Xenopus tropicalis: one gene and its partners. The protein of the gene in region 3 interacts with the protein of the main gene of each other region in a biochemical or structural test. Links are inferred from orthologs where the notes say so. Each region holds a gene or a part of one and is shown on either strand. Other genes may lie near its edges. The genes, in order: pcsk9, mylip and ldlr.

The links.
Region 1: the proteins of ldlr (region 3) and pcsk9 form a complex in vitro, tested with the Homo sapiens proteins (3 studies listed by IntAct, with this or other methods). The link is inferred for Xenopus tropicalis from reciprocal best matches to the Homo sapiens genes LDLR and PCSK9.
Region 2: of the proteins of ldlr (region 3) and mylip, one has a biochemical effect on the other in vitro, tested with the Homo sapiens proteins (4 studies listed by BioGRID, with this or other methods). The link is inferred for Xenopus tropicalis from reciprocal best matches to the Homo sapiens genes LDLR and MYLIP.

What each region holds. Positions count from the first base shown.
Region 1 is NC_030680.2:97,735,207-97,745,595, reverse strand, and holds the start of pcsk9 (proprotein convertase subtilisin/kexin type 9), read right to left. Parts: upstream 9,223-10,389; 5' UTR 9,013-9,222; coding exon 8,833-9,012; intron 7,738-8,832; coding exon 7,546-7,737; intron 6,795-7,545; coding exon 6,671-6,794; intron 6,142-6,670; coding exon 6,008-6,141; intron 5,232-6,007; coding exon 5,090-5,231; intron 3,959-5,089; coding exon 3,762-3,958; intron 3,508-3,761; coding exon 3,324-3,507; intron 3,069-3,323; coding exon 2,898-3,068; intron 2,270-2,897; coding exon 2,121-2,269; intron 1-2,120.
Region 2 is NC_030682.2:92,600,146-92,611,303, forward strand, and holds the start of mylip (E3 ubiquitin-protein ligase MYLIP), read right to left. Parts: upstream 6,165-11,158; 5' UTR 6,012-6,164; coding exon 5,925-6,011; intron 2,508-5,924; coding exon 2,317-2,507; intron 1-2,316. UniProt on the Homo sapiens protein: E3 ubiquitin-protein ligase that mediates ubiquitination and subsequent proteasomal degradation of myosin regulatory light chain (MRLC), LDLR, VLDLR and LRP8. Activity depends on E2 enzymes of the UBE2D family.
Region 3 is NC_030679.2:138,978,511-138,987,890, forward strand, and holds the end of ldlr (low-density lipoprotein receptor), read left to right. Parts: intron 1-60; coding exon 61-435; intron 436-996; coding exon 997-1,119; intron 1,120-1,385; coding exon 1,386-1,508; intron 1,509-1,598; coding exon 1,599-1,718; intron 1,719-1,848; coding exon 1,849-1,974; intron 1,975-2,082; coding exon 2,083-2,254; intron 2,255-2,830; coding exon 2,831-3,058; intron 3,059-3,347; coding exon 3,348-3,466; intron 3,467-3,582; coding exon 3,583-3,722; intron 3,723-3,895; coding exon 3,896-4,037; intron 4,038-4,469; coding exon 4,470-4,622; intron 4,623-4,739; coding exon 4,740-5,006; intron 5,007-5,116; coding exon 5,117-5,197; intron 5,198-5,659; coding exon 5,660-5,820; intron 5,821-7,066; coding exon 7,067-7,102; 3' UTR 7,103-8,434; downstream 8,435-9,380.

The DNA of each region.
Region 1 (10,389 bases), on a different chromosome or scaffold from region 3:
CATAGCAGCTTAAAATATATATTAAAAGTTTTGTCTTTAAGGGGGGGAGATTTTATTACACACTTGAAATCTTTGGGATTTTTGAGCTATCTACCTGTACTCCTCTAGGTCTGAAATCCAAATGGGGTATTTCCCACTTTGTTTGAGATTGGTTATAGTAATATAATGGTGATTGAAAAACAAGCATGCATTATATAAATGTTATGTTAAATCATATTAAAATATGTATTCATCTAATGTATTAGTGGGTTAATATTTAGCATTTGGAATTTAATATATGGATATATTAGCTTTCTTATTGAAAAGTATTGTCTGTGGAGTTTTTGGGTTTTTTTTTTTTTTTGGTTTCAATATTATTTTGGTCCCACTGATTGATTGTCTTATTCTGTTTTAAGCTATTTTGTATTATGTAGTTTTGTTGATCTGTAGATGGCGCTGTTTGCAAATGTTTAAAAGGAAATGTATTCATTAGCCCAGTGTTTTTCAACCTTTTTTGGGCAAAGGCACACTTGTTTCATGAAAAAAATCACGAGGCACACCACCATTAGAAAATGTTAAAAAATGTAACTCTGTGCCCAGCAGCAGTGCCCCCCTAGTACATTGGTGCCAAGAGCAGTGCCCCCCTAGTACATTGGTGCCCTGCCTACGGCACACCAGGCAACATCTCGCGGCACACTAGTGTGCCGCGGAACAGTGGTTGAAAAACGCTGCATTAGCCTATGATAAAGGGGTCAAACCTGAAACACAGCAGGCTTTTCTGTATCGCAGTAGCTACCCATGGTTTTAAGTAACTAACAAAGGACAGTTTTTTTTATCAGAGTAGGATGCAGGCTTTTTTCCTCCCTTTTTGCTGCTGCCATTTACACAGCATTGGAGCACTGCGCTGGATTGGTGAGCACCCACCTCTTCTGATTTTCCCTGTTTAAGGAAGATGCCACGAAGGGGCTGAGTCTATGCGGATATTATTTTATTCTGCAGTTCTAAGTCAAAATATGTGTGTAGCACACAATAAACCAATATCATTTATTACATCAGTGCTGTATGATATGGATGCGTAACCAGCGCCGCCATCGAGGAGGTGGGGGGTGGGGAGAGGGTACTACTGTACTAGGCCTGGTGAAATCTTTGAAATTAGGGCCCGGCTGCAAAGTTACGTATAAAGTTACAGCAATGCAAAATTTACGTAAACAAAAACTGCTTAAAAACATACATAACTTTACAATTTACATAAGTTACATTACTTTCAAAGAACTTGTAAATTCCACTGGCCCCAAATTAAAATACTGATTTATTAGCACATTAATTATTTTTACTATATTTATTAACTACTACTACTAGTTATTAGGCCCCACAGCATTGGGCCCCTAAACATGCAGTTTATATAACTTATTTAAAGACGTTTGTAACTTTCATATCAAGCAATGACAATGCAGAGCAGGGGCAGGAAGGAGTATTGGGTATAAATTTAGAGCTTTGACCCCCAATGAACTGACCGCTAATTAGTGTATTGATTAATGGAACTCTTTATATATTATAGCAGTGTTTTCCAACTTCTGTGGAACCGAGGGCCGTCAATTTTATAGCAGTTGCAGCAGTGTGTACCAATTTGTATTTTTTCATTGACTAACATTGTGCTGTATCTCAGACAGTTGTGTTTATAATATTCTGACTATATGATGAAGGGTTCCTCTCAGATTTTGTCAACTTGTTTTTAAGGTATTTTTTTAGTGGATGTAATAAATGGTATTGGTTTTGCTACTTAGTTTATTGCATGCTACATTCATATATTTAATTTATTAACTTTCTGGATAGCAGAATTTAATAGGTATGGGAATGACTTTTCAAATGTAGTATTTCAGGTTGACACTCCTCTTATTAGAAATAATTGGTGCCTTCCATACAAAATAGCTTTTTAATGTGTATAGTCTTGCCAACAGAGTTGTGTCACAAATACACACTGTAAGAAATCCAATGCATTTACTACTAAATACCCAGGTATCATAGAATTCTATTGAGCAGTGGAAGTGCTTTGGTGCAGCACGTTCAGTTGGCAATTAAACAACGTAGCTAGGCCCACAGGCTGCTCATTCAAGTGCTCATCGTGTTCCATATCTACCCACCTCTATGTGTTCTCCTTTTCTTTTCCCATTCCTGGAGAAACTGGAACAGCTGAACATCTCTTCATTCCCACTGCACTGAACTGAGGTTGTTGCTTTACGAGCAAAGCCAGATGGTTTTGACCAAACTGTACGACAAAAAAGCTCCTCATCTGAAAAGAGGTATGAATGATGATGTGATGCAAAATTTTGAATTTGAGTAGTCTCAATTAGACACTGTTTTAAGGTTGCCCAGAACAGAGACACAGTTAAGGTTTTTAGTCTATAGAAATAACTATCCATTTAGCAAAATATAAAAGGGCTGATTTATCATCGTTCAAATTTGCCATGATACTTAATTCTTTGCGCTAAAAACTCATGAATACGAATTTGGGCTTCCAAATTACTCTCAAATAATTTTAAATTTAGCATCTAAAAGCTTTAGAATTCATGTAAAAGATGATGGTAGTGGTCTTAGGCCAAATGTAGGCCATTAGAATTCTTCAAATTTTCTTTTTTGAGAGTTTGTAGACCCATTGAAAATGAGGCATAGACTATGAATTTGATGCAATCAGTTTTTTTTTCATGGTTTTATTCAGTTGTGTTTTTTAGATTACTTTTTTTTTAATAAAAAAAAAAAAAGCAAACATTTGGTTTTTATAAAATGTTTATTTGAATTCAAAAATAATCTAAAATTCACAAATTTGAATTTTAAGCCACTAAGTTATAAAAGGGACAACATTACTGAGACAATATTTAATAATATAATGACAATAATAATAAGAGCTTTTAGCAACCTACCTGTGAGAAGCTTCACAGGGAGCCCTGCAACTCGATTAGGAGTGATCAGCCTCTGATCCTCTGGGAACGAGACTTCATTTATGGCTTTTTTGGTAGAGAAATGTATGAGTCTCTGCCTTAATTCTGACACTGATAGGTCTGGTTTGTCATTTAATATCATTGCTGCAATGCCTGGAAGATACACATTTTATCACAATCAGTTTGAATACAAAACAAAAAGAATCTGATTAGACTTTCTTTGATGTGTTGTGAGATAAACTTTAGGCAATGCCACCCCAGGGGAGTCTGGGATAGTGCATATGGAGGCCAAGCCTTATTGCAAGCTACAGTGAGGCACTACAAGGCTGAAATCCAGAAAGAATGTGACTTGGATTAAACATTGTTGTAGTGTGTGACATAAACAGCTTAGAAAAGCTCTGTTTGTACCTGCCACATGTGCGGCTGCTTGGGATGTTCCACTTTTTGAAGTAAAGCAGGTGCTGCAGTCACTGGAGGCACCTATGATATCATCTCCAGGGGCAAATAAGTCAACACAGTTTCCATAATTTGTGCCAAGTACACCCATTGTTGCAGGTTGGTCCTGGTAGTTAGTGGCTCCAACTGTAATAACCTGTTTATTAGAATACTCACACATCAGCCATATTTAATCACAAAAAAAAAAAAATTCATAGTACAAACTTGGTCTCTGTGAGCTGCAAACAGTCAAATTCATTTAGGTTCTCATGTTTCTACTGTTTTGTTTTAGGGGTGGTCATTAATATACATTTAGACACACCAAACAGTGATATAAATCACAATAAATTGCTGACTTGGGTCAAAGCAGGAGAAACATGAAAGTGACTAGCAACATGAGAGAGACATTACCTCAGGTTCTGATGCTGGGGAGTACAAACAGGCATCATCCTTATAGTTTCCAGCTGCAGAAATTATGATAACTCCTGTATTGACCAGGGCACGACTGGCAGCATTCAGTATCCGGCTGTACCCTCCAACAAAGGGGATGAGGACAATCAGCGGGTTATAAGGCTGTTCAATCAATGTTTTTCTGATAAACTCCAGACCTGGAAGAAGGCAAAATTTATTATGACGCCAAGCCATAATAGACAAACAGTAGTTGTATATTGAGCAATGGTGTTTAATTCTCTTCATGATTATTGCATTTACTGGTCTGTTGTTTAAATGCAAACATATTATTTATTGCTAAGGGTTACTAGACCTCTAGCAAACATTGTGAATATCCAAGGACAATTTTAATACATAGTGAACTATCATATTTCTTATCACATTCAGGGCCAGACCTGCCTTGCCTTGGTTTGGTTTTAAGATTGGCCTTTTTTATTAACATTATTATTATTAACTTGTATAACTGTACAGTTATAGGTGTATACATTAAACATACAGATTTACATACAAAAACAGCCAATAACTGATAGGGGTGGGGAGGGCCTGTGGCCTAAACCTTAGCTTAAAAATCACTGGTAAGCAAAAGGCACATTACAGAGGCACATACATTACATACAGGAACCATTACATTGCACTCACAGAGTGCAAGAACAAGTTTTTATTATGAAAAATCTGTTATTCAAAAAGCATGCAAAACACTAGTTATTTTAACTGAAATATAAAGTAATTACCACTTTTGAGTACATTACCACCTGTAAAGATGCTAAAAGTATATGAGCAAATGAGTGTGTAAATTAGTTTGAGTAAAAGACAAGTCTGGCCCAAGGAAGGGACGGGCAAAATATAATGGGATTATAGACAAAGCTGGGCAATGGAAGAAACAAAGTATGGATGGAGTAATTACATTTCAGGCCTGTGATTCACTCCAAAGTCCTAAAAGCTGGAAATTGATTGGGAAACCTCTCCTTTATGTTGCTGAATTGTAAATGTTTCATGTGGCTAGCTCTCACAGACATGGTATATGGCATCATTATATAAAACAAGACTATACTTTAACAAACAGTCACTTTTTGGGAATGGGGAATTACACTAAAACTGTAATTGTATTTACAGAAAATATAGCAAAGCACTGAACTGATCCTTGAATACAAGCTCTGCTTCTTATGAAGATGTGCCAGAACCACTGCACTTCTGCACCCTATTTACCAAATTCCTACTCATTACCTAGAGTTTAAAGCAACACAAAAATGTGAATCTGTATCAGATATAGCAAACCCACATACACTTACCTGTTAGACTTCCACTTACTGTGCCTTTGCCTTGACAATTTAGTACTCTAAGGCTGCGGACATTTACGCCTTTAGCTACACCGGCATCTCTTCCATTTACCACTCCAGCCATATGGGTTCCATGACTTTCACATTTACTAGCCTACCAGAAAATGATGAGATCATTAGAAGACACACAAATGTGCTCTGTAGATACTGCTCAAACAACAGTGACCAGAGAATCAAGCTAAAACCCAAAGCTATAATTAGTGTTATGGAGGCAATTTAACTTAACCCAAAGGCACACAGAGTATTTTAGTACCTTGAGTTTGTGGCCCAGAGCAAATGCCCTGCCCTGAAACCAACCCTGATTATAGGCAAAATTGGAAAAGTTCAGTTTTAAATCTGATCTCATTTCAGAACCCTTGCTGATGTGCATAGTTGATAACTGATAAGACCTATTCATTGCAGATTGCTGAGTTTTTTCTGCTGGCTGGGCCTCTGCTGGGCATTAAGAAATGATGCACTACAGAGTCAAGCTGGTATCTTCTGCACTAGCCAGAATCCGAATACATTATATTTTAACTAGGGATGCACTGCATCCAGGATTCAGTTCAGGATTTGGCTTAATCCATGCTTCTGGCCAAACCAAATCTGAATCCTTAAAATCACATGACATTTTGTTCCATAAACACGGAAGTTGAACATTTTTCACTACATGCTTCACACAATGGTTCTCTTTAACCCTTCCTTATCCTAGTTTGCATTTGCAAATTAGGATTCAGATTAGGTTCAGTATTCAGACAAATCTTTAACAAAAAGTTTGGCTGGATCCTAAAATAGTGGATTTACTGCATCCCTAACTATTTATGTGCAGAATGCACAGAAGAAACATACGCAGCGCGCAAGGGAGTGTGGCACAAATATTACATAAGTCACCTGTCGGTGGAAGCGGGTTCCATCTTCCTCTGGGACATTCTGGAAATCTGTCACAAACACTTTTCCTTCTATTTCTCTGTGGTTACTCTGAATACTGGTGTCTAAGAGATAAACCTCAACAGAATCTCCCGTATCTATGAGATAAACAACAAGCCAACATATTGAGAAAATGGGGTAGAACCAGCAGCTAGAACTGTATTAATAATGACATTGCACAGCAATGAAAAAGGAGGACTTGTACTCATATAAAGAACATAACTTTATATAAGGAGGTAATTGGATATTTTTTCAAAAAGATACATTGGGCATAAACAGTTGTTATGTTGGGATCATGCTACTGTATTGTGTATGGTGTCTCTTATACCCATTGTGCCACATGTGCAAGTACTTGAAGGCAGCTCTGCTGGCAGGGCTCCTCATAACATTTTTTTTTATATAAGATCATTTTTGTAAGTTTCAGGGTTGTCTCTATAAACAAGATGCCAATGAATACATATACTGCTTGACACCTGCTGTCCTGGCCTGAGCTATGTACATTTCATAAGCAATTCCTTTTGTGAGCTGTATTTATTTAAGTGTTACTTTCTGATAATGACATTTTCCTTTCTGCTACTGTGAAAAATGCCACTGGGAAGAACCCAAGGATACATAAATAGTTCTTACTAGGTGGGCTGAATTGGTTGGCCATTTGCTGGGCAGGGACAATCCTGTCAAGGTTCCATGGAACACTCTGTGCAAATACAAATGAATCTTCCTCTATATAATCCACATGTGGCAATTTCAGAGCCTGAAAAGAAAGAGACACAGAACATTTGCTTTTCCTGAAAGGCAATTATAGCATATACAGTCAACAAGGAATGTGAGGGCCCATTGTGTCCAGTAGTGCAAATCATTTACAAACTAAAAAAAAGTGTAAATATAAGGGTATTTCCAGGCTGGTACCTTGGACTTTACAGACCTGATGCAACAATCAACATCACATGAAGATAAGGTCTCACACCCACAGTATTTTCCAACTAACATGTTTATATAATAATCTTTGATGTTATTGAAACGGGTAATTCACCTTAATACAAACTTTCATTATTAACTTGTACTTTTAACTATTATAGTAGAACCACAATTTTGAGTTTTTCAGGGGATCAGGAAAACATTGTGTGAAATGAGTGAGTTTTACTTTGGAATATAATATTGGCTTTGTTAGTAACAAGGGCTGAGCATTGCAGCATCAATGTTACAATAAGGGAGGCATGTGCAAGATCTGTCTGGCAGTCAGTACACACCCTAAAGCAATAAGTGATTTGTGCATGACTTAATGAGGAGCAGAGTAATTGGAATTGACTATTTACAGACAGAACCATGGCAAAGTATTCATCTTGTTAGTACATTTTTGGCCCTGGCATTCCATGTACACTGTGGCCCTACCAGCTTGGATATACCTAGTATAGTATGTTTGAACTGTATGAGTTTTTTTAAAAAACATATAGACTAGAGGAATGCAGAATGAGTACAGTACTTTTCATGCCTGCAAAACTTACCATCTCTAATAAGTCACTACTCATTTTCACAACAAACCCTCGGAAAAGTTCATGGAAGACGTTAACAATTTTGGTCAGGTAGCCATGCTTTGCTGCTCTTGCCTGCAGCCGGCGGATGACTCTCTCTGTCTGGGACCTGTGAATATTTTCTTTCAACACCACCACATACTGGCCTGCAGTTCTCCAGGCCTCCTACAAAAGAACATCACAGTTTTTGCTGGGGTTAAATATTTTATAATCTTACGGAATTAAATCTTGTTTTTGTACATTTCTTTGAGAAATTGAAATGCTGGAGATTTAAGAGAATTGACTTCTTTTGTACAGGTATGCAATCTCTTATCCGTAAATGGGAATCATAGAAAGGCCATGAAGCCCATTTTAAGCAAAGAATTCTAATTTTTAAAAATAATTTCCTCTTTCCCTTTAATAATAAACAAGTACTTCGTACTTGATCATAACTAAGCTGCTTGAGTCAATATTGGTGGCAAAGTCTACATTTATTTATGTTTAAATGTTTCTCTAAACCAAATTACAACAGATCCCTTTTCTGGAAAACCCTAGGGCAGTGATCCCCAATCAGTAGCTCGGGGCAACATGTTGCTCCCCAACCCCTTGGATGTTGCTCTCAAACAAGATTTGCTACCAAATAAAACCCCCTTTAAGATTACAGTGTGCATAGAGGTTCCCTAATAGCCAATCTTAGCCCTTATTTGGCACCTCCATTAACTTTTATGGTTCTTGTGTTGTCTTGTCTTTGATTGTGGCTCACAAGGAACAAAGGTTGGGGACCCCTGCCCTAGGGCATCCTGCATAATAGATCCCATACCTGTATATTGCCCTAGCACCATGTGCACCATACAGCTAAAGGGGAGTGGATGTGGGCGTATTACTTAAGAACATAATCAACATTTTTACATGAAAACATAAAGTGAGGCCATGTGTATAGGGAGCAGATTCATCAACAGCACAGTCAGACAGAACATAACATGAAGCAGTAACAGTAAAACATTTATAACCAAAGACACTATGTAAGCGTCTTTCCTTTGCATGACATGGTGCTTAACTCCATGGTGCTTTGTATCTAAGGTTTATTGTCTTCTGAATTACATATAATAGTTTCTTTGAGTGGAGAACTAAAGGGCCTATTGTTGGTCACATTAGATGTAGGGCAAGTACATACACTCATTACAACTGATTTCATTAAGAAAGTAGAGAAAGAAAATAAAATGGAGTATAACATTCTGAATCTTAGCATCATAATAATATTAAAACAAAGACTTAAATTACCTTATTACTCCAGTAGAAAGCCCCAATAGATGTCTCCTTCTCCATATCTACTTGGGCTTCTTCTTGCATGGCAAAGGACAGAACAATTTCTTCTCCATAATCATCTTCATCTGCCATAACCCAGTTGGGCCTTAGAGGAAGAAGACAGAATAGAAGGAAAAGGGGGGCAGAATACATCATCTTGGGTAAAGAAATGTTAAAATGATATAGAGGGAGAAGAAGTAAGCAGATATAAGTGGCAGTCACTAAACAGCAGGGATATCTAAGATGCCATATGCCTGCTAGAGAATACTATAAGGAAATGAAAGGCTGCCAAGGGGCCCAGATATTCTGGTACAAACGCATAAGAAAAAGGACACAAAATTACAAAGTCTGCTATTTGCCGTTCAGATTTGGGAAGGGAGGAGTCACATCACACCACTTGTTGTCTGATCGGATGATCCTGTCTGGTTACTGATTACCTGGGTTTTCTTATGTTGGGTTCATTCCTAGAGTCAAATTACAAGAAAAAAAATTTCGAAATATCTTTTGTGTGCATGTCAGGTGTAATGCCGCCCCCTCACACAATGTTCACAGGGCTCTGCATGTTGCATTCCACACTACACAAACAAAACATGGCAGGCAAACAAATTACTACTTCACACACAATGTTACAATGAATGCAGTGTACAGATGCTCTAGGCATCCTACACATTAGCACGTTATATCTTTTGGACCACATGTGTTATCTTTATGACTCTTATATAACACATTTTCAATCACTTTTTACACTTAATTTTGTTGGCCTAGAAGTTAAGTGATCAGCCTTTGATTGGGGATCTCATGCTAGTGACCCTGGTTGGATTCCCTGTGACAATTACTTGTAACCCTGGACAAGCCACTTAATCTCCTGGTGTCCCAACCTACTTAGTGAGCCTATAATGGATGCCTTGCTTGTTGTAAAGCACTTTCAGTTCATGGGAGAAAAATGCTATATAAATCCCTTACTCTTTTATACACAATAAAACCTAGACTAGTAATTACTTCAGAAAAACTCTTCAGTTGTACCTTGTATTTCTTATGTTTAATGATTGTCTCTGAATATCTCTGATGTAGTGATTCAAGAATAGGACAATGGGTCATTGGACAGAAAAAAAAAAATCAGAAAGGAAGAGCAAACTTTTTGATGTCTTCTCCGTTATTTTGGTTCTGATGCCTTCACAGTGACATCCAAATTTGTTTCTTCTGCTAGGCTATATCTTCTGTCCACTGTATTGTACACCAGTGTAACATAAGGTTTAGGACCATGAAACACAGATAGTTTGATTGAACTCTTGTTCTTTTGCTTGATGGTTTGATTGAACTCTTGATTCTCATTTCAAAATATGGGAGCAATTGCATATGGCAGACATCCGGTGTGCCACAGATCTCAAGTTTCCTATACAGAAGTATCATCCATCATCATATATCCCTTAGTTAAAGTCAAAGAAAATCATTTTATAAGGAAATTCAAGTACCTTTTATTGGAAATATTCTTTCACAATATCAAACAGCCACCATGCATGAAAATAATTTGAT
Region 2 (11,158 bases), on a different chromosome or scaffold from region 3:
ATTAACCTTTTCTGTATCCCCCTTCTTACTGGTAGCTGCTCTGAGTGATCGTATAAAACACAGTGCAGCAAAGAGGGTAAAAACTAAATTTTTGATTAAGAAAAAAAAAAATTCTGCACTATCACCTTAAGTTGAGATAAGTACAAGATTTACTAGAGGCCACTGGCTCAATTTCAGATTATGAGAAGCAGCTAGAGCGATTCCAGCCCAATGACACTACATCAGGCTGAAGCAAACATCTGTGGGAGGCTCAACAGGAATAACAAGACGAGTCTACTCTGAAGTTACTCAATAAAAATGAGTTGCATGAGTATTCATATACATTAAAAATAAGATTTAAAAAAAAAAACATACATACATGTGTGTACACATGGGTAAATTCCCCTTCCACTATCCTTCCCTCAAAACACTAATATCTCTTGTGCCAGACATTAAGCTATATATTTTTCTTCTGGCACTAGGAAAACATAACACACATCACTGTAGATGAGTGGTTCCCAGCTTCCTAATGCCGCAACCCTTAATACAGTTCCTCATATTGTGGTGACCCCCAACCATAAAATTATTCCTAAGACCATCAGAAATATGTGTCTTAGGTGACCCCTGTGAAAGGGTCGTTCGACCCCCAAAGGGGTCCCAACCCACAGGTTGAGGACCGTTGTTGTACATTGTAAGCTCTTGCAAGCAGGGCCCTTTGTTACTCTGTATACCCTTGTTTGTTGAACTTGATCAACAAAACATCCCTGCTTAACTTCGTAATTTGCTGGCACTATATAAATAAATGATGATGATGATGATGATGATGATAACATTCAAAATGTCTGTTGCAGCCCTAAAAGGAATTTTTGTCCCACCAGACTCCGTGGGACCACAAACTGCTTAATTTTAATACAATCTTAAATATGTTTATTGCTTTGAAGATTCACTAGTGCTTTAAAGCCTAAAGGTGACCATACGCGGGCAGATTTCAGCGGCCAATTCAGGTCCTTAAGGCAGCTTTATCGGTCCCCAACAGGCCTAACCGACCAAAAATTGGCCAGACCTTGAACGGCCAGGCTTGGTATTCTGTCAGATCAGGGGCCGCATCAGCTTGTTGATGTGGTCCTCAGTCCAACGGCGCCTAGGGCCAAACGATCCAATTAGCCCAATATCGCCCACCTTAGGTGGGCATATCGGGAGAAGATCCACTCATTTGGTAACCTCGCCAAAAGAGCGGATCTTACAGTTACAGCGAAGATATTTTCTCCATCTAAAAATGTCATGCTTAAATGACTGGCATACAAAGTTTTGTTACCACCGTGTTCTCAGGACTACAGTGTGCAAAATTGCCCTTCTCCACCTGCAGCCACTTCCCATTCATTTGAATAAAAAGTTTCTGCCAACAGCAATCGTTGGCTCTGGGATGTAGGTATAATTTGCTTTTACAATTACAGTATTTAAAATTAATTTACATTTTCCTTGAAGAACGTGGAGTTTATGTAAACCATTTTACATTTACCTCCATTATCAAATAGATAATTGCTGTTAAGAAAACATAACATATTCATGTTTATTAAGAAATAAGGAATGATGGTGCTTGTGAATGAAATAGTTAAGAAACAGATTGCCAGTAGGAATAAAAAGCTAATAAGGCCTCTGGAAAGCTATACATATGTAACAGAAACAGAATGTAATCTGGCACCTAATGCTGAAAAAACTTGAGCCTGTTTAAGAGGGAGGAGTTTCCTCCTCTACTGTACTTGTGGTTCTGAATGACCGGCAATAACAGAGTCTGGTATTTAAGGTTACTATAGGGCAAACTGCATGTGTCACTGCAACAAAATATTTAAAAATAAATAATTTCATTAGAAGAGCCCAGATCATCAAGTGGATACACTTTAGATCGGTCATTGTCAATGTTTTACTTTATATGTACATGCTAAAAATAAAAATGCACTGTTCTAAACTCCTCAGTTTAAATTCATAGACACTAGCAAAATTCTGGTCCACACAAAAAAATATTTGCATAATGAAAAAAAATGTAGTTCTAAGACACTTTCCAGTTTCTTTTGTATTCACAAACCTGGCATTAAGACAAGTTTGGAGTTTGGAATTCATTAAACAACAAATTCATAATCACCTGGTTGCTATTTAAAGCATGAATTTGTGTAGTTAAAAATGGCTATTAAATGTACAAACAACATTAAAATAACTGTATAAATGACATCTGTTGATCTGCGTTTGCAATGTCCTACTCTGTCTTTCCTGCAGCTGTTTTGGCCATATTCCAAGTCCCAGCAATTTTACCCAGAAATGGGAGCCTTCACCGGCTCTTACCTTGTCTGTTCCTGCAAGATTAGATGTGGCTCCACAAAGAACTTCACTTTCAGCTTTAACCTGAAAGGCGCCAGACCATCCATCTGTTGCGATATTCGATTTCGGAGATTCAGCCATAGATTTTCTCCTTTGTTACCACTAAATTGCAGCCCAAAGTAATCTCCTTCAATAATCCCTAACCTTTTGCAAACCTGGTACAGAGAAAGAAAATACTTCATTCAGTAATCATAATAAGATATGGTCTAGTATACCAATATATAGCAAAATAACATATTCCAGTACTCTCAGGTAGCTAGCCTTGATAAATATAAAGTTGATGAGACTATCACTTCCTTAACATAAAGTAGATTTTAAAGTACAGGTGCACTTGCTTGCAAACCAAAAGACAATGTACTAATAAAGCTTTTTTAAGGCAAAGAAACTTATAAAATACAGTAGTAACAGATACATTACTTGCAATATTTACTTTATCAGACAATTTAACGATGAAGCAGCTGATAAAAGATATGAAGCTGGCCAGCCTTCTTTACTTTGGAACAAATACTAGATAAAGCAGTAATGGTGGGTTTGTGCAATACAGTAAGTGGAAAACAGTAACAGAAGGGGAAAACATCCTAAGGGCTCTGGCACACGGGGAGATTAGTCGCCCGCGACAAATCTCCCTGTTCGCGGGCGACTAATCTCCCAGAGTTGCCATCCCACCGGCGAAAATGTAAGTCGCCAGTGGGATGGCACACGCGGTGGCGTGATTTCGGCAAATCACCGAAAATGCCTCGCGAGACAACTTTATCGATTTGCCGAAATCGCCTTCGCAGCGTGTACCATCCCACCGGCGACTTACATGTTCGCCGGTGGGATGGTAGTTTGGGGAGATTAGTCACCCGTGACAAGGGAGATTTGTCGCGGGCAACTAATCTCCCCGTGTGCCAGAGCCCTAAACTATACGGGTAAGAACCCACAGAGCGAGTTATTCACCCACTGGCAACAAAGGAAGTCGCCAGTGGAAAGCCTGTCACATTGCTTCATTTTCCTAAGTCACGCAAAGTTGCCTGCAGGAGGAAACTTCACGCCACTTCAGATTACCGAAGTGATGTGAAGGGCTTTCCGCGACTTCTATTGTTGCCAGTGAAAAGCAAGTAACTTGCACCGTGGGTTCTTACCCCAAAGGCAGTTGCACATGTGGAGATTAGTCGTCCAGGATAAATCTTTGCTATTGCGGGCAACTAATCTCCTTTAAAATGCCATCCCACCGGCAAGAATGTAAATCGCCAGTGGGATGACATATGCATCGCTTTGGTTCCCCAAAGTCATCTGAAGTTTCCTTGGGAGGCAACTTCGGGAAACAGAAGCGAAGCATATTTTCATCCCAATGGCGATTTACATTCTTGACGGTGGGATGGCATTACAGGGAGATTAGTCGCTCATGGTAACAAAGATTTATTGCGGTCAACTAATCTCCCCGTGTGCCACTGCCCTAAGAGTGAAGACACATGGAGCTACAGTAGCAGCTACTTGTCACAGCTACAAAAATAGACAATGCTGATCATTTACTGATAATTGTCTCTGTGTGTGTTTTAGCAGAGGCAATTTTTAGTACTGTCTATGGCAGGGGATTTAGGGCATTTAGTAGCTGCTACTAAGTAGTTCTGTGTGTCTTCACCCTTAGGGCCATGACAGACGTGGAGATAAGTCGCCGCGCGTCAAATCTCCCCGAAAATGCCATCCCACCGGCTAGAATGTAAATCGCCGGTGGGATGGCATATGCGGCGCCAAAATCGCTGAAGTATCCTCAAAAGGCGCAGCAACTAATCTCCCCATCTGTCACGGCCCTTATATGTACAGCACAAATTATTTTTAGTTTAATGTTGTATTCCCTTACTGAATAGAAAGTTCTTTCTATCACAACCTAAATTCTCCTTGTTGTGCTAAAACATGGGTCACGATTCTGCACAAACCATCCTAGAATAAAAGCTTTGTACCTAGATGATATACTACAGTCTGCAAAGGTTGATATTTACCTAAAACAAAAGATCCTTGGGAATAGTTACAGGGCTGCATGTTGAAAAGAGGTTTAAAATTGTTTACCAAGAATTGCAAAATAGTTTATATTTACATAGTAGAGGGTTTTGAAGCCAAATGTATATATGTATTTGCACGGACACCCATATACAAAAATGAGGAATGGTTTTCTCTTTTCTAAAGGCAATTTTATGAACTACACCTGATGTTGTGAATATAAATGTGTTAAAAAAAAAAAAAAAATGATCTTAAGTAACCTTATCCGAGAAAGCTCATTTAGATTCATTCAGTGACAAGAGCCAGGAATACATTTAAAGAGAAAATACACCGCCTTTTTTTTATATAAGCTCATTCAATGTGCATAAACACTATCTGAACTTACACAAATAAATATACTTTTTTTTTTTTGTTTAATACACATAACTGATTACGGACTATGATACTTGGACTAAACATTTCCCAGCAAATCTTTGCAATGTAATGCAACCCCCACTTCATCTTGTTTCACTGTAAAGGTATGGATTCTGGGACTTGGAAGTCCCTCTGCTTTCCACAGTGGGTGCTGCACAGAATCTCTGGAAAGCAGAGAGTCTTCAAGCTTTTTAGAGGAATGGGGAACTCATTTCTGGGAACCAGGATAGGCAATCATGTTTTCCTTTGGAATCAGTTAAATCTCTGTAAAAAAAATATACATTTATATTTATTTGTGAAACTTCAGGAAATGTTATGTACATTTTCTACATAAGCCCAACAACACAATACACACACCTAAGCAACATGCTGCACACTGAGGTGCAGGGTGGTATTTACAAGTAGAGGGACATTCTTGCATCAGTAATGGCGCAGACCTTGCACTACACCACATCTTGTTTCCTTATTTCTTCCGTTACCCACATATGCACAAAGCTCACCTCTTCCTCATAGATTTATACCACAATAAATCAACACATCTCGGTGTCACTTATAACAATAATCGCAAATGTTTCCTAACAGGTAACTGCTAACAAAGTTAATGAGCCATTGCAGTCAGCTGTCAGCACCACATTTACCTTTCTACAGAGCTTCACAAACCAAGCATGCAAACCCCACCAGGTTCAGCTGTGAATACATAAAAAACCATTTAGATACTTTATATTGCTGGCCAGTCTTTTATAATAAACAGAATAGAAAGCTGGAGCCCAACAGCATCAGACTGAAAGTTACTGCTATACATTGGGAGTCCCATTTGGCACAGGACACAGGGCCAGGTGAATGTATGTAAGTAGCCAGGTGGTATGCGTACTCTTCTCTCCTACTTAGCTGGTGTGTTTGGGTGAATACAAATGAGACAAGCTAGCCCAGACGTTTGGCACAGGGCTGATAGCCCAAGGCTAGAGAAGCGTAGGCCTGCTAACTAGGAGCACCAGGGTGCTGTTATTCTGCACAGAGGTAAGTGCTGGGGCGCAAAGCTCCATAGGACAAACAAGTATTAGAAGTGGAATGAGAGGCAGCCTCAGAGCACTGACGAATGGGAAACTTGCCTCACTGTGGATGATCCTACATACAAGCACCCATGGCTCCCACAAGGGTCACGTCTCGAACCCAATTACCTGATTGAGACAGTCTTCTCCATTCGCCTTCGCATCCACTTCTACCTCCATAACCACCGCATCCGGCCTCGTCACATAGCACAGCATGGCAGTACGGGGGGGATGCCAGGATCCTTCTGCTTCACTGAAGCCTAACAGACAGCCTCCCGTGCTGTCTCTCCCGCTCCTAAATTACCGACGACCCTGTCTCCTGTATGCACCCAACTGTATGTGCATGTATAAAAAGCGCGTAGGAGGGCGCTTGCTTCCAGCACCATCAGCACAAGGATATCACTAGTCTGATAATAACCCTCCCACTGCCTGTAACTTACTTATGCCCTCCTCCTCACCAAGGCCCGCCCCCGCACGCTTATTGGCTCTCTGGCCGCTGGAATACTGTAACCGGAGCCTGGAGCTTGCGTTTAGAAAGGACCTTCGGCGGTGAGGGGCTGGCATGGGGTTACAGCATGTACTGTCTCGCTTCTGTACAAGCACAGACAGTCTGCTGGCTACTGAGTGCTCTTTACATGTGCAGCTTGCCAGCTTTTCCGTTTCTTGTTATTCTTCTTCTTAATTTGTTCTTCATTTTCGAAAAGTAATAAATTATCATCATAATCTAAAATATGGTTGTTATCAGTCTGATACCACGATCGATGGTCCTTGTTTTTGATCCCATGTTTGAAAATGGTCTGACATCGCAAAGATTAAAAATAACTTAAAAATCACACAGCATAGAGACCCATTGTGTGGAACCCTGCCGATATTTACCTTTTGTTTATATGTACTGGGACTGCTGGGAGTTTCACTAACTAGGTCTGACATTCACAACAATTTAGTACTTTTTAGAGGGGAAAATAAAGAGAAGTAATATCAAGTAACAATTTAACCAGATAGCATTTTATATTGCAAGCCACAGGTTAAAAGAGGCAGAAGATTGACGCAGATACATAACCTGTTTTTAAATGCCAGTCAGAGCCCAGATCCTTATGTTCTACTGTACTGTATAACATCCCAATGGTACTTGTCAGTGACATCCTGAGAGGGAGGGGCAACAGCACTGACATCACTAAAAGTGGAGGGGTTTCTTGAGGCATCTGACCTGCCACCCACCTGAACCAGAGCAAGCAAACCCTATCAGAGACTTGAACCTGGGCATCACTAGCAGAAGAGGAGCATAATGAACGCCAACTAAAAAATTGCTTAGAATAGGCCATTTTATAACATACTAAAAGTTAAAGGAGAAGGAAAGGCTAAGTCACTTGGGGGTGCCAAAATGTTAAGCACCCCCAAGTGACTTTAATTGCTTACGTTGTACCCCGGGCTGGTGCCCCTGTTAGGAGAAAACAGCACCAGCCCGGGGTACCTGGAGCGATGCGCTTCCTCCTTCCTTCTTCGTTTTGCTGCAACTAACACAATAGGCGCATGCGCAGTAGAGTGAAAAGCCGACTTCTCTGTTAAAGTTCCACTATTCACTCTACTGCGCATGCGCGTGCGAGCGATACAGGATGGAGGAAGCGCTGCAGATACCCCGGGCTGGTGCTTCAACTTTTGCATATTTTCTGTGACTTTTTCGTACAAAATCGCATTGTCGGGCCGAGTACGAAAGTTTTGGATTTATTCAAGCTACAGTATTGTGATTTTCCTTGGGCGAAGTTGGAGCTGCAGAGTGCCATTGAGTCCTATGGGAGGCTTCGAAAATCATGCACTGAAGGTTCAAAGTCAGAAAGGTTTTCCTGCATTTTACGATCATTCAGATACGAAAAAATTTAACTTTTTGGCCATTATACAATCATATACAATTTTTCCGTATTTTCAAATGTATTTTATACGGTTTTTTTGTATCGTGCTTTTTTTTTTTTTTTTAAGGTTGATTTTTATTGAGTTTTACAACAACAGTGGGAATGGGGAAGGGGAGAAAAGGAGGGGGGGGAAAGAAAGGGGGTTAAGAGAGTAACGGTTGTTACAATAGAGTAGCTGGTGAGTCAGTCCAAGGAGACCAAATATTTTCAAACTTCGCCGGGCATCCTCTGGCAAGATATGTAAGTTTGTATAGGTCTAGTTGAGAGTTGACCAGGGCAATCCATCTTCGGAGTGTTGGAGGTGAGGGGCTCATCCAATGTAGGGCAATGGTTTTTTTTGCGTAAAATAGTAACAGTCTCATTAGTAATTTAGAATTTCTGCTGTGTACCAGAGAGTCTAGGAGGCCCAGTATGCAGGTGGTTGGATTGAATATTTGGGGGAGATTCAGTTCCGTACCCATGAATTCTGTAATTTTATGCCAAAACTGTTGAAGTACGGGGCAGTCCCATATCAGGTGCATAAAGTTAGCCATAGGCGCTTTGCATCTTGGGCAGTTCGCTGATTCGGTTTTCCCCATGATGTGTAGCTTTTGCGGGGTGAGATAGGTCTGGTGTACAATTTTAAAGTGTATAAGCTTATCCCTTGTGCTTATTAAGGGTTGATAGAGGTTGCTAATGACCTCGTCCCAGTCCTCGGGGTCTAGATGTACCCCAGAAGTTTCCCATTTAAGCTTGATATCTTTTAGCGATCAGGATTTTGTAAGAGTTTGAGAGCAGTTTGGCTTTGTTTTCTTGTGCTGCCAGCCGTTCTAGGTCTAAGTGCTGGATATTCGGAGGTTGTTGAAACTGTGCGCTACATAAATGTGTAATCTGTGCATATCTAAGGTTAGACAAGCCGGGTCGGGGGATAATTTGCTGCAAAGAAGGTAGGGTATGTAGTTCTCCATTTGTGTATAAATGATCTATACGTTTTACCCCAAGTTTAGCCCAGGATCCTGCTTCTGGGAAGGAAGCGAATTTCTGTAGGTTGCTATTTCCCCATAGTGGGGCGTCAGGTGATATTATTCCTGTTTTATTGGTTAATAGGGTCATGGAATCCCATGCTTTTTTGGTGGCATCTGAAACTGGGAGTAGTGGGCTAATATCCCTTCTTGTTCTATACAGGGCATTGTGCATGCTTTCTATTGAGGAGAAGTAGAGGCCTTCTAAAATTGAAGCTGGGTTCTCGGGGTCAAACACTTTCCAATTTGCGACATGGGCACACTGGGAAGCTAAATAGTAGAGCTCGTAGTTAGGGGATGCTAGACCTAGTTGGTCTTGCGGGGCATTCAGAGTGTACCTTGAGAGCGTTGGGGATTTGTTACCCCAGATAAAAGCAGATTGGGCTCGGTTTATTACTAGTAGAAAGCTTTTAGGTATGTGACATGGGGTATTACTGAATTGATATAGAAATTTCGGCAGGAAGATCATTTTGCATATATTGATTCTTCCTATTAGTGTGAGTGGTAGTTTTGTCCAGTGTTTGAGAGACTCTGAAAATTTGTTATATAGTGGGCGTAGGTTATGTTCAAGGAATTGGGCTGGTTCTTTATGAACCGTTATTCCCAAGTATTTGAAGCTGTCAGCAACTTTGAGGGTGCAATCTGGGTCTGTCATTGTGGGGGTTTGGCCATCTAGGGGGAAGATTATGGATTTTTCCCAATTGATCTGTAAGCCTGAGTATATACCAAAGGACTTGATTATGTGTAGTACTGTTTGAAATGAGCCATTGGGGTCTGCAAGATATAGCAGCGTGTCATCTGCGTATAAAGAAATTTTCTCTTCAACAGTTTTATATATGAGTCCTTTGACTTGCTGGGAGTGTCTAATCAGGATTGCCATGGGTTCAATCGCTAGGGCGAAGAGTAGTGGGGAGAGGGGGCATCCTTGACGGGTACCTCTAGTGAGTTGGAATGAGGTGGATAGAATTCCATTTACTTTGACGGCCGCTTTGGGTTCACTGTACATCAGTTTAAGCCACTTAGCAAAAGAAGGGCCAAACCCCATTCTGACAACTACCTTCCAAAGATAGGGCCATTCAATCGAGTCAAAGGCTTTGGCCGTGTCTAAGGATACTATCAGTCTGGAGCCCTTGTTATCATGAGGTAGTTGCAGATTGAGGAATAATCTCCAAAGGTTAAAGCTTGTGGATTTTGCTGGCATGAATCCAGTTTGGTCCGGTTCTACTAGTGTGGATATGACTTTTGCTAATCGTTTTGCTAGGATTTTGGCGAGGATTTTGATCTCTATATTTAGTAACGAGATTGGCCTGTATGAGGAGCATAGAGTTGGATCTTTCCCAGGTTTGGGAATGACTACAATGGTTGCTTCTGAGAATGACTTGGGGAGTGAGAATTCCTCAAAGGCATGGAGAAGTGTTTCGTGTAATTTTGGGACTATTTCTCGAATATGGGTCCGGTACCATTCTACAGTAAAGCCGTCTGGGCCTGGGGATTTATTTGCGGGGAAGGACATGATAGCTTCTGCTATGTCAAATTGGGTAATAGGAGAGTCCATATATCTTGATTGCATGCGTGATAGCTTGGGTAAAGAAATTTTGTTAAGGTAGTTATGTAACTCCGTATTGGAGTAGCGGGCAGTGGAAGTGTAGAGTGAGGTATAGAATTTGTTAAATTCTGCTGCTATGTCTACGGGGGCAAGTAGTGGCTCTCCATTGGAGGATAGTATTTTGGGAACAGCCGTGGTGCTCTCGAGTGGCTTGGCCAAGAAAGCCAATGGTTTGCCATTTTTATCACCGTAGGCGAACATAGTGCTAGCCGTATAGAGGAGTTGTTTTTTGGTTAAGTTTATTCTGTGGAGATTGAGCTGTCTAAGGGCGTCTGCAAAGTTAGCGTGGTTTTCTGGGGTAGGATCAGTGGTGTAGACTGTTTCAGATGAGCTCACGGCTGCCTCCAAATCTAGTAGGGTGTCTTTAGAGTGCGCTCTAGCTTTGGCAATGGCTGCCTTCAGGGCGCCTCTCATTACAGCTTTGAAGGCGTCCCATAGTACCTGGGGGGAAGCTGAGTTCTGGTTGTCTAGCCAGTACAGTTTAATGGCCTCTTCAGATGCATAAGTGATTTCAGGGATTTTAAGCCAGAGAGAGTTTAGCCTCCATTGCCTACTCGTGGATTCAGGGCGTATCTCTAGGGAGAGGAGCAGCGGTGCATGGTCTGAGATTGCTCTTGGTAGGAATTTGATTTCCCTAACTTTTGGTAGGAGATCTGGGGAGAGTAAGGCTAAGTCTATCCTGGAGAGGGACTGGTGTGTGGCTGAGTAGCATGAGAATTCTTGTGTATTGGGGTGTTTCCACCGCCAAGTGTCTACTAAATCATAAGCGGTTGCCCACTTTGCTAGTTTGGTTGATGTTCCAGTGGATGCCGCAAGTCTATCTATGGATGGGTTGAAGCAAGAGTTAAA
Region 3 (9,380 bases):
CTCCTTTTTTGTTTCTGCCCTGAACTTTAATAATTATTATTTAATCCTTTCATCCTTTAGCTCGTAAGGTGTGTGCTGATGACCAGTTTACATGCCGAAGTGGGAAATGCATCTCCCTTGACTTTGTTTGCGATGAAGACCTGGACTGTGATGACGGTAGCGATGAGAGTTATTGTCCAGCCCCCACTTGCAACCCAGCCATGTTTCAGTGTAAAGATAAAGGCATTTGCATCCCTAAATTGTGGGCCTGTGACGGGGACCCCGACTGCGAAGATGGTTCAGATGAACAGCACTGCGAGGGGAGGGAACCCATCAAGACTGACAAGCCCTGCTCTCCCCTTGAGTTCCACTGTGGGAGTGGAGAATGCATACACATGTCCTGGAAATGCGATGGGGGATACGACTGCAAGGATAAATCCGATGAGAAGGACTGTGGTAGGTATCACCCTGTGAGGTTTGACATATTATCATATATTCATATACTCTGAGGCTTAGAATATTATACTCCATTTTAAAATGTATCTCCATTTTGTAACTGCAGACTGGAAGACTTGACATCCCATAATAAGTTGGTTTCTCTCAAATAGTGACTCTGCACGGCTTGCACATTATGAAATACATATTAATTATCTTATCGGTTATATTCCTGTTCGGCACAAGCAATCCTTGAAGGCCATTCTTGAAACTACAGTGGTCTTTCTATTTGTTATAATACACTCCTATGTATTTGCACTTACTCAGAAGGTTATAAAAGCTATGAGCGCGTAACAATAAATTGAACAAGTTTGAACTGCCTCTGTGGTTGCGTCCTTCTTGTTCCCGTATATACGTCTTTGTCCTGGCAGTAGAGCTGCCACAGGTCCCTACACTTTTAGTGAGCTGTCGGGAACCCTAAAACACCTCTACCCTCCTGCAAAGATACAGTGGCACGGTGCTGTGTGCATCTAGGGTAAGATAACCACTTTGTTATTCACTCCTATCTCTATCTCTCTTCAGTGAAACCCACTTGCCGCCCGGATGAGTTCCAGTGTAACGATGGGACGTGCATTCATGGCAGCCGCCAGTGTGACCGAGAATATGACTGCAAAGATCTTAGCGATGAGGAGGGTTGTGTTAATGGTGAGCATCTCATTTGCCCAGACTGAAAAAAATATAGCATGTGGCCCATTTTGTTTGTAAAACTGCTGTTCCTTTAATGGACATTGTTTAACAAACCAGTACTGTAGAAGTGTTCATGGTCATTACTGTATTTGCCATAAGGTTCATAGAGTTTATGTCCGAACTGCCAAGCTGAAAATGATTGATTCTTACCTACATATGGCATATATGTATGGTCACACGTGATCTTTAATAATAAGGTGTCTATTTTGTTTTTCTACAAACAGTGACAAAATGTGAAGGCCCTGATGTATTCAAATGCCGCTCTGGGGAGTGTATCACAATGGACAAAGTCTGCAACAAGAAAAGAGATTGCAGGGACTGGTCAGATGAACCCATCAAGGAGTGTGGTGAGTATCAACCTGTGTCACATAAGGACTAATCACGGCACTTGCCTCGTTCCTTAATCATGATATTTAACACCAACCCTTTCTCTTCAGGTGAAAACGAGTGCATGCGAAACAACGGCGGCTGCGCCCACATCTGCAATGATCTTAAAATAGGATATGAGTGTTTGTGCAACGAAGGGTACAGACTTGTGGACAAGAAACGCTGTGAAGGTAATTTTAGCTTTTTTTGGAACTTTTTAGCATCAGAGTTTTTTTTTTTTGGATCTTTGTAGCATCAAAGGTACTCAGAGTACTTCAAATCCAGTCTAATGTTTTCTTTCCCTTCTTTTCTTTTATCCAGATATTAATGAATGTGAGAACCCCAATACCTGCAGTCAGATTTGCATCAATCTTGATGGAGGCTACAAGTGTGAATGCAGAGAAGGTTATCAGATGGACCCAGTGACTGCATCCTGCAAATCCATCGGTAAGTACAATGCCAAGCCTGCCTGTGGGCTTTAGAGCTTCTTTGTGCTTGTCATCTGTCAAAATATCCCATGGTCTGATCTGTTGTTTCATTCCTGTGCACGTGTAGGAACTGTGGCTTACCTGTTCTTCACAAACCGGCACGAGGTGAGGAAGATGACGCTGGATCGGAGCGAATACACAAGCTTTATCCCTCGCCTTAAGAATGTGGTGGCTTTGGATATGGAGATTGCCAGCAACAAAATCTATTGGTCTGACCTGACTCAGAGGAAAATATACAGGTAATGGCGAGACTGGCGTTGCTGCTTTACACCCCAAACTAGTTCTCCTATATGAAGGGTGGATGCCCTCTCAGATCAACCTCTTGCATGGTAAAGAATGCCCAGTCATGTACCCTCTAAATACTGCATATGTTGTTCACCTTTTAAATTAACTTTTAGTATGATGCAGAGAGTGCTATACTGAGACAGTTTGCAGTTGGTCTTCATATTTGCGGTTTTGGAATTAATTAGGTTTTTATTTAGCAGCTCTCTAGTTTGGAATTTCAGCTGTAGCCTGGTTGCTAGGGTCCAGTTTAACCTAGCAACCAGGCAGTGGTTTGAAAGAGAGACAGGGCTATGAATAGTGGAGGGCCTGTATAGGAAGATTAGTAATAGAAAGTAACAAAAAGAAAGTGACCATTTGAAAGCTGGAAAGGTGAATAGGAAATCAAATAATTAAAAATGGAGACCAATTGAAAAGATTCTACAAATAGACTATAACATACTAAAAGCTAACCTGAAAGTGAGCCACCCCTTTAAGTGAGCTTATTACATTTACAAAGGTCTAATATGTCATTTCTTCCCAACCATAATTAGTGCATCGATGGATAAGGCAGACAACACGTCCCACCACGAAACTGTGATTAGCAGCCAAATCCAGGCTCCTGATGGCATTGCAGTGGACTGGATCCACGGGAACATCTATTGGACAGACTCTAAGTTCAGCACCATTTCTGTGGCCAACACAGAGGGATCAAAAAGGAAAACTCTTTTCAGTGACGATCTGGCAAAGCCAAGGGACATTGTGGTGGATCCTTCTCAAGGGTAAGTCAGGTGGAAATTACTTGTGTTATATTACACTGCAACAGAACTGGGAATTAGAAGGACGGCATGATGCTCATAGGGGCCAGTAATAGGGCTTAGTCTTGGTTGTATACAAAATAAAATGAAGGCTATGAATACAGTGTTAGTGAGAGAAGTGATCCCTTTTGGCGATGTTTATGATGCCGTGTAAGTGTGTCAGAGATCCCGTTAGCTCTGTGTTGTATATAAACCTATACATTGTTACCTGCTGCAGCCTTAAATGTTTTTTTTTTTTTTTTTTTAATTACAGGTTTATGTACTGGACTGACTGGGGCCTCCCAGCCAAGATTGAGAAAGGAGGCTTGAATGGAGTTGACAGATACCCCTTGGTTACAGAGAACATTGAATGGCCCAACGGCATCACATTAGGTGAGCAATCTTTTACCTGCGGATTACTCCGCATACTTACTGTTCCATAAGCTGGTCTTCCTATTGTAACAATTTCAATTTTCATGATGACATTCTCCCTTGTGTTGTATATTTAGACTTAACCAACCAACGGCTATACTGGGTGGACTCTAAGCTTCACTCTCTGTCCTGTATTGATGTCACTGGGCAGAACAGAATAACGGTCATATCAGACGAGACCCACCTGGCTCATCCTTTTGGGCTCACCGTCTTTGAGGTAAGCTGATAATGATACCCAGGCTTTGCCCAGCACACAAATAATAAAAAATAGTGTGGGGCAGCATAGGCTGTTATCTTATGAGCAGATTGGCATCAGATAATTATGGGATGGAGGTACCATGTGTAATCTCATGAAGTACATGTGCTGACGACGACCCCTCTTTCTTTTAGGATCTTGTATTCTGGACTGACATTGAAAATGAGGCCATCTTTAGCGCAAACAGACTGACTGGCAGCAATATCACGAAAGTAGCAGAAGATCTCTTGTCTCCAGAGGACATTGTCTTGTACCACAACCTGAGGCAACCGAAAGGTATGAGCCACCCTTACAGCTTTAATTGTCTGCAATTAGATGGTTTTATTGCTGAAATTCACCCATTAGGTTTTAGGGCCCAACAGATGTTCTTAAATAGGATGATTAGAGCTGCCTTCTGCCATGTTGCTCCTGTTTTTTCAGTCCAGGGGAATTGAGTGCACTCTGAATAGTGAGATGGTCTGTCAGTGCTTCCACATAAGAGGCGCACATAGTGGCGGGAGGGGCAGGGGGACCTGTTCTCCCAAGGGGCCTGCTGGGGCACATTAGCACCGTGTTTTATATAGGGGTATAAATGTATGGTAGAAAATGATTGCCCCACTATGTGGCTCCTTACTTACCTTTCTATAGTTATAAGTCCAGCAGTGTTACCTTGTACTCTCTCTTCTGTGTCCAATGAATTTAAACTCATCAATTTTTTTTCTGCCACAGCTGAAAATTGGTGTGAATCTCACCACCTTGGCAATGGCGGCTGCGAGTACCTGTGCCTTCCAGCACCGCTCATTACCTCACGTTCTCCCAAATTCACCTGTGCTTGTCCAGATGGGATGCACCTGGGGGCAGACATGAGGAGCTGCGTGAAAGGTAGGCCCCTTGCTTCAGATCTCTCGGAACGGTTCTCTGTGTTCCAGGTTGGCTAACTTTTTTGTGCTGGCTATTCAAAAGAAACCTATTCTGATTTATTGTGTCCTTACTTTCCAGAACCAGTGTTACCAGAGACCTCTACCACAACCACCACTTCAGCACCAGTCACAACCACTACAACAACACGTCCCACTACTAGGAGCACAACACTGGCTAAGATTACTTCAACTACCTCAACTGTTGCTCCACAGAGACCAAAAATGGCCAGCACCACTGTAGCACCACCAAGGCCTACCACAGAATCCCCTAAAACAACCCAGAGAATGGTTACAGAAAGAGTCCCTGATCGTACCACATGGGAGCCTGTGACTCATTCACAACTAGGTATGCACAGTCGGTGGGGACGGTGGGGGGTGCAGTTATGTATTCTCACCTGATATTGACTTATGTTTATGTAACATGTTTTGCTAACTGCATTTTTTCCCTTCCTGTAGCTGGAAATAAATTTGCTAATGAAGGAGTAGTTGAAAGTGCCCGATCCCATCCCACTGCTCTCTACATTGTGCTCCCTATTGGTGAGTTCCTCACTTAATCCATGAGCTTCTCTGCGATGAATGTACTTGGGTATAGATGACTTATTTGTACTGTGTAGTTTTGTCACGATGTCGGGTGGCAGTGAGGCTATTGAATGTCACCTGAAACCTTCGCTGCTAAACATACCTGCCATTTGGCCGGGACCATAATGTCGTCCCAACACATTTGTCTTGTGAGCGTTTGGCTACTAGTGGAGGTGTTGGCTGCCATGTCCAGAGCCTCCTTTTTCGGCCCACTTAAATCTATCCAGTTACAGTAACTCCTACTTTACACTGACTATGCTTGGCACCATGGCAGGTTCTAATAGAACCCAAAACTTGACTTCTGTAAGCCTTTATCATGTCAGCCTTTATACAGAACATTGAAACAAGGACAGGGTAGTGTTGTTTCTAAAGGCAAAATATTGCAATTGGTCTAACTTTTTAATGCTTTTCTCATTCTAGTGATACTTTGCCTTGTTGCCTTCGGGGGATTCCTCCTCTGGAAGAACTGGAGATTAAAAAATACAAACAGCATAAACTTTGATAATCCCGTGTACCAAAAAACAACCGAGGAAGACCAGATTCACATCGGCAGAAGTCAGGATGGATACACCTACCCTTCGGTGAGCATAATCCCACTTCTAATGTATCCATTCAATGAAGGCGCAAATTTGGTTTTGTTTGTTCCCTTGAACATTCAGCTAAGGCTCAATGGTCCTTTAATGCTCTTTAAGGGGAAATATATACCCACCCAAACAACGATGGGCTTTTTCTATTTTAGCTTTTGTGATATTAGCAGTTTAACACTGCCAATATCATGAATGTGTTACAGGAATGCTGTCTGCTGGGGGGGGGGGGGGCAGAAGCTTACATTACTGAAGCAGGAGGCGTCTCTTGATACTTTTATGCAAAATTCTGTTGATCAATAGGATAAGAGCAATGGCACTGAGTAGTAGGTTTTTTTTAATCAATGGAGAGCACACTGCTAGATGGAAAATGAAAACTAATAAGGTAGAATAAGGTGCAATAAAGCCCAAATATACTTCCCCCTCCCCACCCCCAGGTACATCAAACTAAATAGAGAAGTAGGGCTTGCACTCAAATAAAGCAATACACACCAGTGGTATTATCACAATAAAAATATCTTCATAAGGTGTTAAATGATAACAACACAGCACAATATTGCTCTTATGTTGAAAATACAACCACATATAATACATACCACCAGATAAGCAAGATAAGGTGGATACCCCCAGTAGCTTTTATTTGTTTAGCAGCTCTTCGGTTTGGAATTTCCACAGCTCTCTGGTTGCTATGGTTCAATTCAACCTAGGAACCAGGCAGTGGTTTAAAATAGAGACAGAGAAATCAGTAGAGGAGGGCCTAAATAAAAAGATAAGCAATGAAAAATAACAAAAACAATACAATTGTAGACTCACAGGGCAACAGTTTTTGGTCAGAAGAGGAGAACAATTCAAAAAGCATACAAAATAAAAAATGAAGACCAACTGAAAAAGTTGGTAATAACAGTCCATTCTATAACATAGTGAAAGTGAGCCACCCCTTTAATTATCTGACAGCTAGTCCATCAGACAGAACAGCAGGGGGTGCTCCAGTTGCAAAATCCATGATAGTAGTAGTGTAAAAATGGTAATATCATAACTAAAAGAATGTCAATTGCTCAGAAGAGCAGCTTTAAATGAAATTGTTCAATTTAACAGAGGGGGCCTATACCCATGTATACAAAGTGCTGTGTTTTTGGGACCAGCCCCCCTGTTGTGTGTTTTTCTCTATATAATTGAAATGAATGCTAATGCTAAGATCGGTCTGTACTGGTCACTAACGTGTTTCTGTGTTTCCCATTCACAGAGGCAGATGGTGAGCTTGGAAGATGACATTGCTTGAACAACTTGACCACTCGTGTGCCTGTCGCCAAATGTTGCTGCTTACTGTTTCAGGGACAATACAAATAACGACGAAACCAAAACACACTTTTTTTTTTTTGTACATTAGTTGTCACTAAGTCCAACCCACGCAGCCCAAACGTTGATTCGTCCTCGGCGATTCCTAAGACTCAACCTACAAATCGCCCGTGGACTTCACTTTTTTTTTGTGTCTGAGATAATTCTATTTAAGTTTAATTTTTTCTTTTTTTTTTACTGTGCCATGTTTTATGCTCTATTGCACACTAGTAATGTGACAATTCCCCTCGGAAACGAGAGATCTTACACGAAGGAATACGGAAACACAATGGCGAAACTGCACTAGGGGGGACTGTGAAGGACTTACCTACAATCCTGGCTGGGGTTATATCTGTCTTTTGTTTTGTTTTAAAAGCACAATATCTTGAAGAAAAAAAAAAAACACTAAAAAGAACCAAACTCTGAACGGGAGGGACCCGGTGGGGGAGCAGAACTTGCAGCTTTTTTTGTTTTCTATATAGACTTGTGGACGTCCCAATCTGCTCAGGTTGTCGGAGAATGTTTACTACCTTTTTTCGGGTAGCCATATTTGGCACTGCCTTCCTGATAGGATGTAGCAAAGTGACAAAGGCCACTAATTACCCACAAGTGCCTGGTTCTACCATCATTCTTTTGCAGCGGTTCCACTGTTGCCCCCGCCCTCCGCCTGCACTTTTTCCCCCCCCCTCTCTCCTGCGTTTGTATGTTTGTTGCACAGAGTTGTCAATTCTTCAGCTTCCTTCTATTCACCGTACTCATGGAACAGGGTATGACGGCAGAAGCGACTTTTTTTGTTTTTGTTTGGGATTTGGATAGACTGAATGGTTCTAGGGCTTCGAGTCTGAACGTTTGTGATGTCATCGGAACGCTGTCCCGCGGATCAGCACCTAACGAGGTTAAACCGTGCCTGTTACTACTGCTGCCTTAATTGCTTCCCGGTGCAGAACTGAGCTATCGTCGCGTATATTTTTTTTTTCCTCGAAAAATCTCAGGTTTTACAATCGTTGGTTCTGAATGGATGATTTGGGACACGCCTTCTCCGAAATCCCGCCTCTGCTCTTTGTATGCAAGTATCCCTTTTTCTGCAGTATTGAAACGAATCCGTCCTGCCCGAGCCTTGGAAAGAGAGTGCTTTCTTATATATTTTTTTTTTTTGTTCTGAAGGGTGTAAATATTTGTTTCTGTACAGTGTATTGCACAATGTATTTCCTGTATGTATATTTTTTGTCATTCCTGGGAAAGAAAAGATTAATATATAATTTATTTATTTCCTAAGCTTCCACGAGTCTCATGGTTTTTATTTTGGGCTTTAATCTAAAATGGAACTTCTTTCTTTGAACTATGATCCGGCCTGAGCCCTTCCTGCCATAACTGGGTTCTGGACATTTATCTCAGAGAACATTAATGCTCACTTAAAGGAACAGTAACACCAAAAAAATGTATAAAAGTAATTTAATATATTAATGCTGTATTGCCCTGCACTGGTAAACGTTGTCTGTTTGCTTCAAATCCTTACTATAGTTTATATAAACAAAGCTGCTGTGTAGCCCTGGGGGACAGCCATTCTAAGGAGAAAATTCACAGGTTACTTAGCAGATAACCGATAAATAGAGCTTATCTGTTATCTGCTATATAACCTGTGCCTTGTTCCAGCTTAAAATGGCTGCCTCCAGGGCTAAACAGCAGGGTATTTATATAAACTATAGTAAGGTTTCTGTAGCAAACACCCCAGCTGTACCAGTGCAGGAATGGCTGCCCCCGGGGCTACACAGCGGGGTATTTATATAAACTATAGTAGGGTTTCTGTAGCAAACACCCCAGCTGTACCAGTGCAGGAATGGCTGCCCCCGGGGCTACACAGCGGGGTATTTATATAAACTATAGTAGGGTTTCTGTAGCAAACACCCCAGCTGTACCAGTGCAGGAATGGCTGCCCCCAGGGCTACACAGTGTGTTATTTATATAAACTATAGTAGGGTTTCTGTAGCAAACACCCCAGCTGTACCAGTGCAGGAATGGCTGCCCCCGGGGCTACACAGCGGGGTATTTATATGAACTATAGTAGGGTTTCTGTAGCAAACACCCCAGCTGTACCAGTGCAGGAATGGCTGCCCCCGGGGCTACACAGCGGGGTATTTATATAAACTATAGTAGGGTTTCTGTAGCAAACACCCCAGCTGTACCAGTGCAGGAACGGCTGCCCCCGGGGCTACACAGCGGGG